Danio rerio: one gene and its partners. The protein of the gene in region 2 purifies or fractionates together with the protein of the main gene of each other region. This does not show direct contact. Links are inferred from orthologs where the notes say so. Each region holds a gene or a part of one and is shown on either strand. Other genes may lie near its edges. The genes, in order: ppp2r2ab, ppme1 and ppp2r2d.

Evidence for each region.
Region 1: the proteins of ppme1 (region 2) and ppp2r2ab purify together in Homo sapiens (affinity purification with mass spectrometry; 3 studies listed by BioGRID and IntAct, with this or other methods). This does not show direct contact. The link is inferred for Danio rerio from reciprocal best matches to the Homo sapiens genes PPME1 and PPP2R2A.
Region 3: the proteins of ppme1 (region 2) and ppp2r2d purify together in Homo sapiens (affinity purification with mass spectrometry; 4 studies listed by BioGRID and IntAct, counting the BioPlex papers as one, with this or other methods). This does not show direct contact. The link is inferred for Danio rerio from reciprocal best matches to the Homo sapiens genes PPME1 and PPP2R2D.

Annotation. Positions count from the first base shown.
Region 1 is NC_133185.1:23,747,556-23,751,312, reverse strand, and holds the start of ppp2r2ab (serine/threonine-protein phosphatase 2A 55 kDa regulatory subunit B alpha isoform), read right to left. Parts: upstream 2,603-3,757; 5' UTR 2,317-2,602; intron 1,132-2,316; 5' UTR 1,013-1,131; coding exon 1,006-1,012; intron 1-1,005. UniProt on the Homo sapiens protein: Substrate-recognition subunit of protein phosphatase 2A (PP2A) that plays a key role in cell cycle by controlling mitosis entry and exit. Involved in chromosome clustering during late mitosis by mediating dephosphorylation of MKI67.
Region 2 is NC_133196.1:26,824,616-26,828,272, reverse strand, and holds part of ppme1 (protein phosphatase methylesterase 1), read left to right. Parts: intron 1-79; coding exon 80-131; intron 132-212; coding exon 213-367; intron 368-482; coding exon 483-573; intron 574-2,937; coding exon 2,938-3,003; intron 3,004-3,111; coding exon 3,112-3,238; intron 3,239-3,494; coding exon 3,495-3,624; intron 3,625-3,657. UniProt on the Homo sapiens protein: Demethylates proteins that have been reversibly carboxymethylated. Demethylates PPP2CB (in vitro) and PPP2CA. Binding to PPP2CA displaces the manganese ion and inactivates the enzyme.
Region 3 is NC_133187.1:43,811,950-43,815,606, forward strand, and holds part of ppp2r2d (serine/threonine-protein phosphatase 2A 55 kDa regulatory subunit B delta isoform), read right to left. Parts: intron 3,642-3,657; coding exon 3,544-3,641; intron 3,447-3,543; coding exon 3,281-3,446; intron 162-3,280; coding exon 49-161; intron 1-48. UniProt on the Homo sapiens protein: Substrate-recognition subunit of protein phosphatase 2A (PP2A) that plays a key role in cell cycle by controlling mitosis entry and exit. Involved in chromosome clustering during late mitosis by mediating dephosphorylation of MKI67.

The DNA of each region.
Region 1 (3,757 bases), on a different chromosome or scaffold from region 2:
ACTAGTATAATTTTGTTATAAATTCGATTTTTACTATGATGGGTTCATTATAAAATATACAAAATACTGTAGTTAACATAAATGTTTTCTAGTAAATTTTAAACATTATTAAATAAATTTAAAAAATTACCCATGGTAAATTACCCCACCTATATTTGCCTTCGGCCCAATAACAGTTAGCCTCAATCAATTTGGTTTTCCTTCATGAGAAAAAGTTTGGGCACCCTTGCTATAAGCGGTAATAAAATGTTTTGTGGAGGACGCCTATATTCCATCACTGCCATAAAACTGAACCCTCCCACTCCTCACAGTCACGACTCTGACCTGTAAGATTTCTACGTTACTTATCGGGTAAGTCTGAATAACAGCGTTTAATGAATAAAAGGCGTTCGTCTTTGTCATCCCTGCGGATCCTGCCGCTTTTAGCGGCTTCCAGTCTCTCTGCGAAGCGCGCGGCAGTTTGACTGCACATGACTCTGCAGATGCCGGTTAAAGTTCTCCAGTTCAATGGAGGAGATTTAAAGAGGCCCGCATTTCCAATATATTTATACACCACACCAAATAATACACACAAACAGAAAAGAAACCGGACGTGTTACTCAGTGCCTACTCATTTACACAACCGAGATATAAAAAATCCCGCAGCCTGACCGCGCATCCCGCTAACAAATGATGAAAGGGTTAGCAGCAGACATGTTTCCACTCAAATGAAGCTCATCGCTGAAACACACCTCTATCACAGAAAAAAACAACAGTATTGCTTAAAACATCCTCAAATGATCTTTGCACTATAAATAACATAAGATGGAAATCAGTTTTGTCGATTTACTGGCTAACTGGAGGGAACGAGGCTGCTAGGCGGCTAGGCTACTGTCAGTAGAGCAGGAACGCGATGGTGGCTCCAGTGCAGCCGCTGCGCTCATTGAAACAAACAGAAGCGATTCCCTAGTTCACGGTGAATTGGAACAATCTCTGCTCAAGCAGCTCATAAACTTGTCGAGTTACCTGCCATGGCGAGAGTGGCGATGTCGGACCCTAGTCTTGATAAGCAGTGTGAAGGCGACCAGAGCAAAATTTCCAAGAGAGTCGCCGGAAATGCTGTTTTTCAAAATAAAAGTGCTTCTGATACTTCTGGATAAAAAGGGAAACAAGAAATAAAAAGCAAACAGATTTGTTAAAGGTATAGTTCACCCAAAAATGCTAATTCTGTCATCGTTAATTCACCATTTATTTATTTCAAACCTTTGCATTTCTATAATCTGTTGAGCACTATGCACAAATGATTTTGGAAACCTGTAACCATTGACCTCCATAGTATTTGCATTTACTACTATGGAAGTCAATGGTTACCGGTTGTCAGCTCTCTATAAAATATTCTCTTTTGTGTTCAACAATAGAAAGAAACTAAAATAGGTTTGGAAAAACACGAGGGAGAGTAAATACTCAATTTTGGGGCGAACAAGCATTGGGCGAAAGCATATATTACAATATTTCTAGTTATTCATGCAGGTAACCCAAATAAAAAGATATAGCTGACAGTAAGGTTTTCCCTGTTTTATGAGTTATTATGAAAATCTCTATTAATACACTTTGTTTAACATTGGTTCTGCTTTTGTCAGGACTGATAAATACTAACCATTTGTGCATAATTTATCAAACCAACTTATTAGTGGTCAATAACACTGAAATATTCATAGTGAAGGTAAACAATGCCAAGAGCTTCATATGACAGGCATCTTTGGTATGCAGCTTTATTTACTAGAGTACATTGGAATCATGCCCATATGATTTAATATGATGCTAAAAATACATGACGTGCCAACATTCAATGTTCCTTTTGATTTGGGAGGAAATGCAAATATGCAAATATCAAACATAATAAATAACTAAAATGTATTGTCTATTTACAAAGTTATGTATTACACTGATATCTTTAAACTGAAGTGAATATAAAAATATTTAAATGATATGCAAAAATTGTAATATGCTTTATTACATATAAAAAACAATGTAAAAAAATATATATATCCTTTATTACATAACAAAAAGTAACATATGTCATTAATCTTTCGGTTACTACAATAAAATTGTAAAATACTACATAATAGTTTAAATCAATACTATAATAAAAATCATTTCAGGTTTTAAACAATTTTCCCAGTACTGGGTTGTGGCTGGTAGAACATCCATTGCGTAAACATATGGTGGAATAATTGGCGGTTCATTTCTCTGTGGCAACCTCTGATAAATAAGAGACTAAGCTGAATGAAAACTGATGAATGAATACATTTTATACAATGTTTATATTAAACTTACTTTAAAATCCTTTTCTTGTACTTGTATTTTGAAAGGGAATCACGCTTTCGGGTCCGCTGTTGCGTCACTTCCGGCTCTTACCTTGGCTTACTGCTGCTGCTGCTAGTTTTTGCTATCAGAACTGTCCAGAGAACTTTGCAGGGTTTATTTTATTGCAAGCAGCTCCTCTGCAAATGCATGAAGAGGAATGTCGGAAAGACGCTATTTTTTGTCGGTAGCCCTTCAGTTCGCTATTAAATGTTGAAATGTTCTGTCTTTCCTCCTCAGCTTTCTCCTCCTACACTCCTCTCAACATTCAAAATGGCGCAACCCCGCCCTGTCATGACGTAATCGGCGCTGGCCATTCATCAGTGGGTGCTGGAGTAATGATGTAACGCCACTGAACTTGTGTGGGCAGATGAGGATATGAAATGCGTTTGTCACAAAGTTATGTGCATTTATTTAAAACTTTTTTTTTTTTTTACTTTAAGAAGAGGGAAACAATTATGCCTAAACTTTTTTGGATGGAGTGTCTTTTTTTGATAAAAAATGTGACAACAGACATGTCAGACGATTGTTACATTACTCTGTATATACCACCCCAAGATGTAATTTTTTTTGGACCAACTTCTCTGACTGCATTCAATGGAAGAGAGCATGGTTATTACCTGAAAAATTCAGCATATCCAACAAAATAAGAGAGATACATTTTAAGATCTTGCATAATGTTTATCCTACAAATTCCCAAATTGCGAATTATTTTGATATATCTAATTTGTGTACTTTCTGCAATACACATGAAGAGACTTTATTTCACTTATTCTATAGTTGCACTCACATTAAACGTCTTTAAAATGACATTACTTTTTATTTATCATCCATTTTTAAACATGATTTAAATTTGTCTATAAAAGATATATTTCTGTATTTCTCGGATGATGGTCATGCTCTCGATCTTATTGTAAATTTTTTTGTGTTACACTGTAAATTTTTTATACACAAAAATAAGTTTCTAAAAACAATACCTGTTTTTAATACTTTCCTTGTTGAAATTTCGTATATATTGAATCTCTTAAGCTTATTAATAATAAGAAAAATAATAAGTTTCTTAAAGCTTATGACAATCTTTTTTGTTAATGTTTGAGGCTGTGTATTTTTAATTTTTCTCTCTGTCTTCTTTCTTATTTTTTGTTATTGTATTTTTTCTTCAATGCAGTGATGTTATTATTCTTGTATTCAATAAAAAAAAGATGAGGATATGAAATCTTTTTATTTAATTTTTAAAGTTTATATTATTTATCCTGATCTGTTATTGTCATTGTGTTTTTCTGTGTAAATTGAATTTTGTATGTTTGTTATTGAAGTCAATAAAAAAAAAAGATGAGGATATGAAAAAAATTTACTCCAACAGCATCAAATATTCTACAACATAAAACAAGCTTGTTTAATATCTGTTTTGAAT
Region 2 (3,657 bases):
TCATATTTCAACATCATTCTTATAATATAGCTAAATATACCAACTTTCAAATGTCACATTTTCCTATTGAATTCTTCAGGTGATAGTAAAGTAAAGAACCCGGACGACCTCTCTGCTGAAACAATGGCCAAGTGAGTACATACACCTTTTGAAAGTCTGCATAATAGAGATTTTATTTTTAGCATTTAATATAAATGTTACCTTTTCTTCAGGGATATTGGAAAAGTGGTGGAGGCACTTTATGGTGAAAACCCACCTCCAATCATGATTATTGGACACAGCATGGGCGGAGCTATAGCAGTTCACACAGCTGCAGCCAATCATGTGCCATCTCTGCTTGGTCTTTGTGTTATCGATGTAGTGGAAGGTACGTTTTTCTGCTATCAACAGTGTATGCTTGTCACTGATTTCCATTGAGTTTGAACATATGCGACTGTTGGTTATTTGTATGCATCTATTGATGTTTATTGCTCATTTTTCAGGCACAGCAATGGATGCCTTGAACAGCATGCAGAACTTTCTGAGAAGTCGACCAAAAACATTTAAATCAGTGGAGAATGCAATTGAATGGAGGTACACAGAGCTAAGCGTTTTGTTGACAATAATATCTAGGGGCATCTTTAAAAAATGTGTTTGGTTACCTCACAGATGTGTTTACTTCTTTATCTCTTAAATAATAATAATAATTAATTAAAATATTTTCACTATCACAGGGCGCCCGTGTCCCCACCAATATCCATCAACTATTGAAATGTCCCCACCATTCATGTTTTTCACTTAAAAAATCTTGCTGTCAATAATAACCTAGGCATGCAGAAAGGGTTAAATCTCTTAAAAGTGACGTCGTATCTTTAGTTTTATCTCAGGCATGCTTTGCACTCGCGCTGCAAGCGTACCGCGCCAAAGCCCAACCGAACAGCACTCTGGCACACCTCTTCCCAGGCCAGAAGCAGCCAACTGAATCGCGGCCGGGGCACGGTTCGATACACTCACACTTGTCAAACAAATCAGGAAATGCTCCCGCGTACGGTTCGGATAGCCTAGTGTGAGTACACCCTTAAATGCTATTTTACTTGGTATTAAATTTTGTATTTTTTTTGATTCTGCAATGTATAGTTGTATACTAAAACTTGCTAGGACTTAATCTGCGAATATTGACATGCTGTGTAGTTTATGAAATCGATAATTTCCTGTTAGATTTGACATCACGTTGCCTTGGTTACTGCAGTAACCAAGGCAACACCATTATTCCTGCTGTTCTATCCGCTTAAGTTGTGATGTATTGGTGATATATAAAATACTGTTTACGGGTTTAAGCCGCTACTCATTTGAATCTAAAAAATAATAATTTAGGACCACTTTTGAGTCATGTCACACATTAAAGTGAACTTAATCGAATATCATGGTGTAGACAAAAGTCTTTAGACTTGCTGCATCACAGACGTTAATATTTTAACAATTGTTAAAAAATGAATAATTTTCTGGCCATCTGATATTAGGCATGGATATTGCGATCATGATTTTTGAAAGTATTACATTGCTTTGTAAACATTCATTATTATCATTTGTCGAGTCTTCCCATACAGTTTGATATTGTGCTTGGACCCGGAAGCTGCTTTGCTTGACGTCACACTTAACAATCGGATAGGCGCCACCTGCTGGATTAGCATTTATATTCATTTATTCATTCGTTCATTTTTTTCTCAGTCCCTTTATTCATCAGGGATCGCCACAGTGGAATGAACCACCAATTTTTTCATCATATGTTTTACACAGCGGATGCCCTTTCACCTGCAATACAGTACTGGGAATCATTCATATACACTCATTCACACACATACACTATGCCCAATTTAGTTTATTTAATTTACCTATAGCGCATGTGTTTGGACTGTTGGGGAAACCGGAGCACCCGGAGTATGCCCACGACAACATAGGAAAAACATGCACACACAACTCAACATAGATTTCTTACAATCAGTACTTAGTAAATATGCTGTAAGTTAAAATGTCTCTAATATTACAGGTAACACCTAAAGTAGCAATGAGGTCTTTAAATTCAATTCCATCTTTATTTGTATAGCACTTTTACAATGTAGACTGTGTCAAAGCAGCTTCACATAGAAGATCATAGTGAATTGAAACAGAGTATAAGTTCAGTTCAGTTCAGTTTAGGTCAGTTCAGTTCATTGTGTTTTAATATTCACTGCTGAGAGTCCAAACACTAAATAGCAAATCCATCGATGCGTAGCTCTACAAGTCTACAAGTTTAAATGTATTGGACGGAGTTTTAAAAAAGGTCTTAAGAACTATTGAATTTCTCTCTCCAATTCCTGTATATAGCCTCCATAAGTAAATCACAAGATCAGTAATTGTATCCATACAAAATTACCAAGCTAATCAGCATGCTTTTTTTTCATTAAATAATTTATGAATGCTTGCAGAACATCAGAAATATTGTAATGTACGTTAACTTAATACTATAAGTAATCAATTTGTTAAAACTTTAACGCACAGGTGTCAAACTCGGTTCCAAAAGGGCCGCAGCTCTGCACAGCTTAGTTCCAACCCTAATTAAACACACCTGATCAAACTAATTGAGTCCTTCAGGCTTGTTTGAATCCTACAGGTAAGTGTGTTGGAGCAGGGTTGGAACTAAACTGTTCAGGGCTTCGGCCCTCCAGGAATTGAGTTTGACACCCCTTCGTTTAACGCATCCACTTTGTTCAACTTTAAGCTGGAACAATTAATCACTGAAATCACTGTCATTTTTTTGCAGCCATAAAATTCATTAATTAATTTTCTTTCAGCTTAGTCCTTTTATTTATCAGGCATCGCCACAGCGGAATGAACCGCCAAGCTGTAAAATTCAAATAATTCAATTAAGACCAAAATCTATCTATATCTCTAAATGTATATATTTTTTCATTTTAACAGTGTGAAAAGTGGCCAGATCAGGAATGTTGAATCTGCACGAGTGTCTATGGTTGGACAGGTGAAAAAGTAAGTCTGCCACCCTCTTAGTTTACCTAAAGCAACCAACACAAGGACATGCAGAAGTGTTTGACTGTTGTGCATATATTACATGATCGCACATGTTTGGATGTATAGATGCGAGGAGCCACTGAGTAGTCCAGGGGTTTCCAAGAGCATCAGTGAAGGCATCATTGAAGAAGAAGAGGAGGATGAAGAAGGAGGAGAATCCAACCATAAAAGGAAGAAAGAAGATGACCAAGAGGTGATGCTGACAGTACAGTACAGTACAGTACTGTTTAAAAGCTTGATGTCATTTACATTTATTTAGTTTGAAAGACATATCAGCAAAGTTTGAAAGACATAATCAGCAAAGACATATTAAATTGTTCAAAGGTGGAAGTAAATACATTGACTAGCTTGTATCTTTTTAATACAAAATTCCTTACATTTTCACACACATTTTAAGGAGAACAACTTTTTTATGTACAGATGTTTGTTGATTTTGTTTCATGTGGCAGATAAAGAAGGAATCTCTGTACACCTGGCGTATTGAACTCTCAAAGACAGAGAAATACTGGGAGGGCTGGTTTAAAGGACTGTCTTCCCTCTTTCTCAGCTGTTCTGTGCCAAAACTTCTTCTGCTGGCTGGTATGAATGTTTAGACATTTTGTTTAAAGTCTT
Region 3 (3,657 bases), on a different chromosome or scaffold from region 2:
ATTTAACTAGAAACCAGTGCTGCTGCAGGAGAAGAGAGACAGACTAACCCGTAGTGATGTGATTCGAAACGGATCTCGCAGTCGTCCGTCCTCGTCTTTAAGGTTGTATCCTTCTGCTCGTTTATCCCTTTCGCTGATCTTCCATAATTTGATGGTTTTGTCTTTTTGAAAGGGACACAAAAATGCAAACATCAGTTACAGGAAAAAAAATTGCAGATTTAAAACCTAGGAGCTCACATTTTTCATTAACCTGAGAAAAAAATATGTACAGTAGAAGTCAAAATTATGCGCCCTCCTGTATATTATTATCTTTTAAATGTTTCACAAATTAGGTTTAACAGAGCAAGAGATGTTTTCACTGTAGTTCCCATACAATTGTTTTCTAGTAAAAGTCTTGTTTTATTTCGGCAAGAATAAAAGCATTTTAAAGGCCAATATTATTAGCCTTCTTAAGCAATATTTTTTCTCAATTGACAACAAAACAAACGATGGTTATACAACGCAATGTTTTCCCTATCATTACATAAGAGGGGCACCCCGCCCTCCCAACGGCTGTCCCCGCCCCCTTAACCCCTTCAGACCCTGCGTCCATTTCAATGGACATCACATGACATCCCATTTTTCTGAAATTTGGAACATAATTCAGGTCTGAAGGGGTTAAATTCACATTAATTGTATTTCATATATAGCGCCAGATTACAGCTATTTTTAATAAACAAGCTAAACAGCCGTATGTAATATCTCATTTAAACAACAGCATGTCATTTCAGTTCTACGCTCGAGTCACTGCAGCTAAATGTCTCCAGCAAATGCATAGAGCAGTGGTTACCAAACTTGTTCCTGGAGGGCCGGTGTCCTGGGCCCGGTTTTTCCAAAAGTAATCCACTAGGATTTTGGATAAGGGATTGGATCAAATCTTGAAAATGGGTTTTTCAAAAGAAAAAACAGATTACCTAATCGGATTAGATCTGGTAATCCAGTCTTGGTTTGGATCCGGATCAAACCTTTACTTTGGGGTTTTCAGACCTTTTTTGTAGGATTTGGATCACTTTGATCCAAAAAACCTGGATTAAACTGATCCCATCAGGAGGGTGGATTTAGTGTGGATTTCATGCCCAAAATGTAATGAAAACTTAAATGTATTAAATAATATTATTTTTGGATCATGCAGTATCTTACGAGATGTATACTATTTATTCATAAGGTTTTAATTTTATTTGTTCATCTGTCAGGCTATAGTAATTATTGGCTTTAACATACTCAGCCTTTCAGTATAGGCCTACAGAAAAGTAGAAATAGCTTGGCCTCATAAAACAATCCCCCAAACAGCTGTCAAAATTGACCAAAAACAATCATTTTTATTCCGTTACTAATTAATATAAATATATTCATCACAATAGAAAATATTTTTGTGTTTAGAATATTTATTAGTGATGCATGCAATAATTACAGAACAACCAAAAAAATGCAAAGAATGGCAATCAATGATTTTTGAAATCTTTCAACAATTGCAAAAAGAGACTGAAAGGGCAGAAGCACAACTTCATCTGGCAAAGGAACAACCGACTCTGACCAAACTGCAGCAAACCAAGGCCAGACTTGAGATCTGCCTCCTAAAGGCTTTGCTCAGACAAGCTGATCTCCACATCAGATGAGGAAGACTGAACTTATTGTGGAGTTTTTGAAATTAAGTCTTTTTTTTTTATTTACATCTATATTTGAAACATTATAAATACCTCAATGTACAGTGTTTGTGTTGCAGGTCTCAGATGAGTTGATTGCTGGAAGAGGATGGGGTGGGGTTTTTATTGTTTTATGTGTGTGTTTTTATTTCAAATAAAAATATAGTTATATTAATAAGTTATATTGGCCCCACACTGGCTATTCTACTTGTTGCTTTTTACTGTACATAGGCCTATCTATCCATCTACATTGTGATTGAGCACTGGTTATCCAGATTTAGTGATCCTGAAAAGTTCCTATCCGGATCAGATTGATCCAATCTAATGTTGCTTTGAAAAACTGGCTTAAAAAGTAAGCTGGATTACGTGATCACGGATCGCAAAACAAGGATTACTAAATAGATCAATTTGATCCGGATTATACCTTTTAAAAAAACGGGACCTGCATATTTTAGCTCCAACCCTAATCAAACACACCTGAACGAGCTAATCAAGGTCTTACCAGGTATACTTGAAGCATTCAGGCAGGTGTGTTGAGAAAAGTTGGAACTAAACCCTGCAGGGACACCGGCCCTCCAGGACCGAGATTGGTGACCCCTGGCATAGAGACTCCCGGATGGCCACAAACGAATGATAATCTCACGAAAATTGCACATCTCCCGCCAAGTCCTCAAATACATCCCGCATCCCTCTCTGCTCTTCAGATGCGTTGCGCACATCCCATGCTGTGATGCGAGCGGAGCTATCTCCTCTATCTAGTGTCTAGTTTAATCCTTGATCCCAAGGATTCCATATCCGGGACCAGGCCATATCCTGAGCTGCTGCTGTGCTGATGGTCGTGGGGAGTGGAGAACATGAGTCTGATTCCAGCAACGCTCCAGGGACAGACGAGTCTTCGCTGAGGCCATCTTCCAGCCTCCACCACGGCGAATGAAGCTCTGCACAAGACTTTTGGCCAGCGGTGAAATTAAAATGGTCTTGCCCAACTGAGTCTGGTTCTCTCAAGGTTTTTTTTCTTCACTCCCATCAGGTGAAGTTTTTTTTCCCTCTCCGCTGTCGCCACTGCCTCGCATGGTTCAGGATTGGTAGAGCTACGCATCAATGAATTTGCTCTTCAGTGTTTGAACTCTCAGTAACGATTAAATCACACTGAACTGAGCTAAACTGAACTGAACTGAACTTAAACACTAAAACCTGAACCACACTGTTCCAGTTACTATGACCATTTATGTGAAGCTGCTTTGACAAAATCTACATTGTAAAAGCGTTATACAAGTAAAGCTGAATTGAATTGAATAGTTATGACCTCTCCCGAAAGCTCTGCGTGTCTTCCGCAAATTCATACCGGCTCAGTGATCCCCCAAAATTAATTAAAATACCAGGAATTCATAGTGACGGGAGTGAATAAGCAAGGGAACAGATCGCGAGAGGAGCTATGATGGAGGAGCAATAATGGCAGCCCCAATCCACCCCCCCCCCCCCCCACTCTTTTTTTATTGAATAAATTATGAATTTCTGACAGCAAAAACACTGATGCCAGACTTTTGAATTGTACTGTAGTGCATAATGAAATCAAACGTTTAACTTGCAGCATTTACCGTTTGTGGACAGTAGAAAGTGCGCAGCGTTCTGTTGCGGCAGCCATCTGATTTTATTGATCTTCTCCTCGATTTCTAAACTTTTCAAGTAATCAAACTCGGGCTCGTGACTCTGAAAAGTGCTGTACACGTTGTATTCGCCTCTTGAGAGCGGGCGGTTTTTACTCTGTGGACATAAACATGGACACACACGCATATAATAGCACTCTGATTGAGTCACACTTACTAATAAGATTAAAAATAAAGTCTTTGAGTTGCATTACCTCCTGTTCTCGCTGAAATATGACGACTCTTCCCCCTTTGTCTCCTGTGGCTAGTAACTCCCCAGAATAGTTAAATTCGACGGTTGAGATAATGTCCGCTGCAGATCAGAAAGG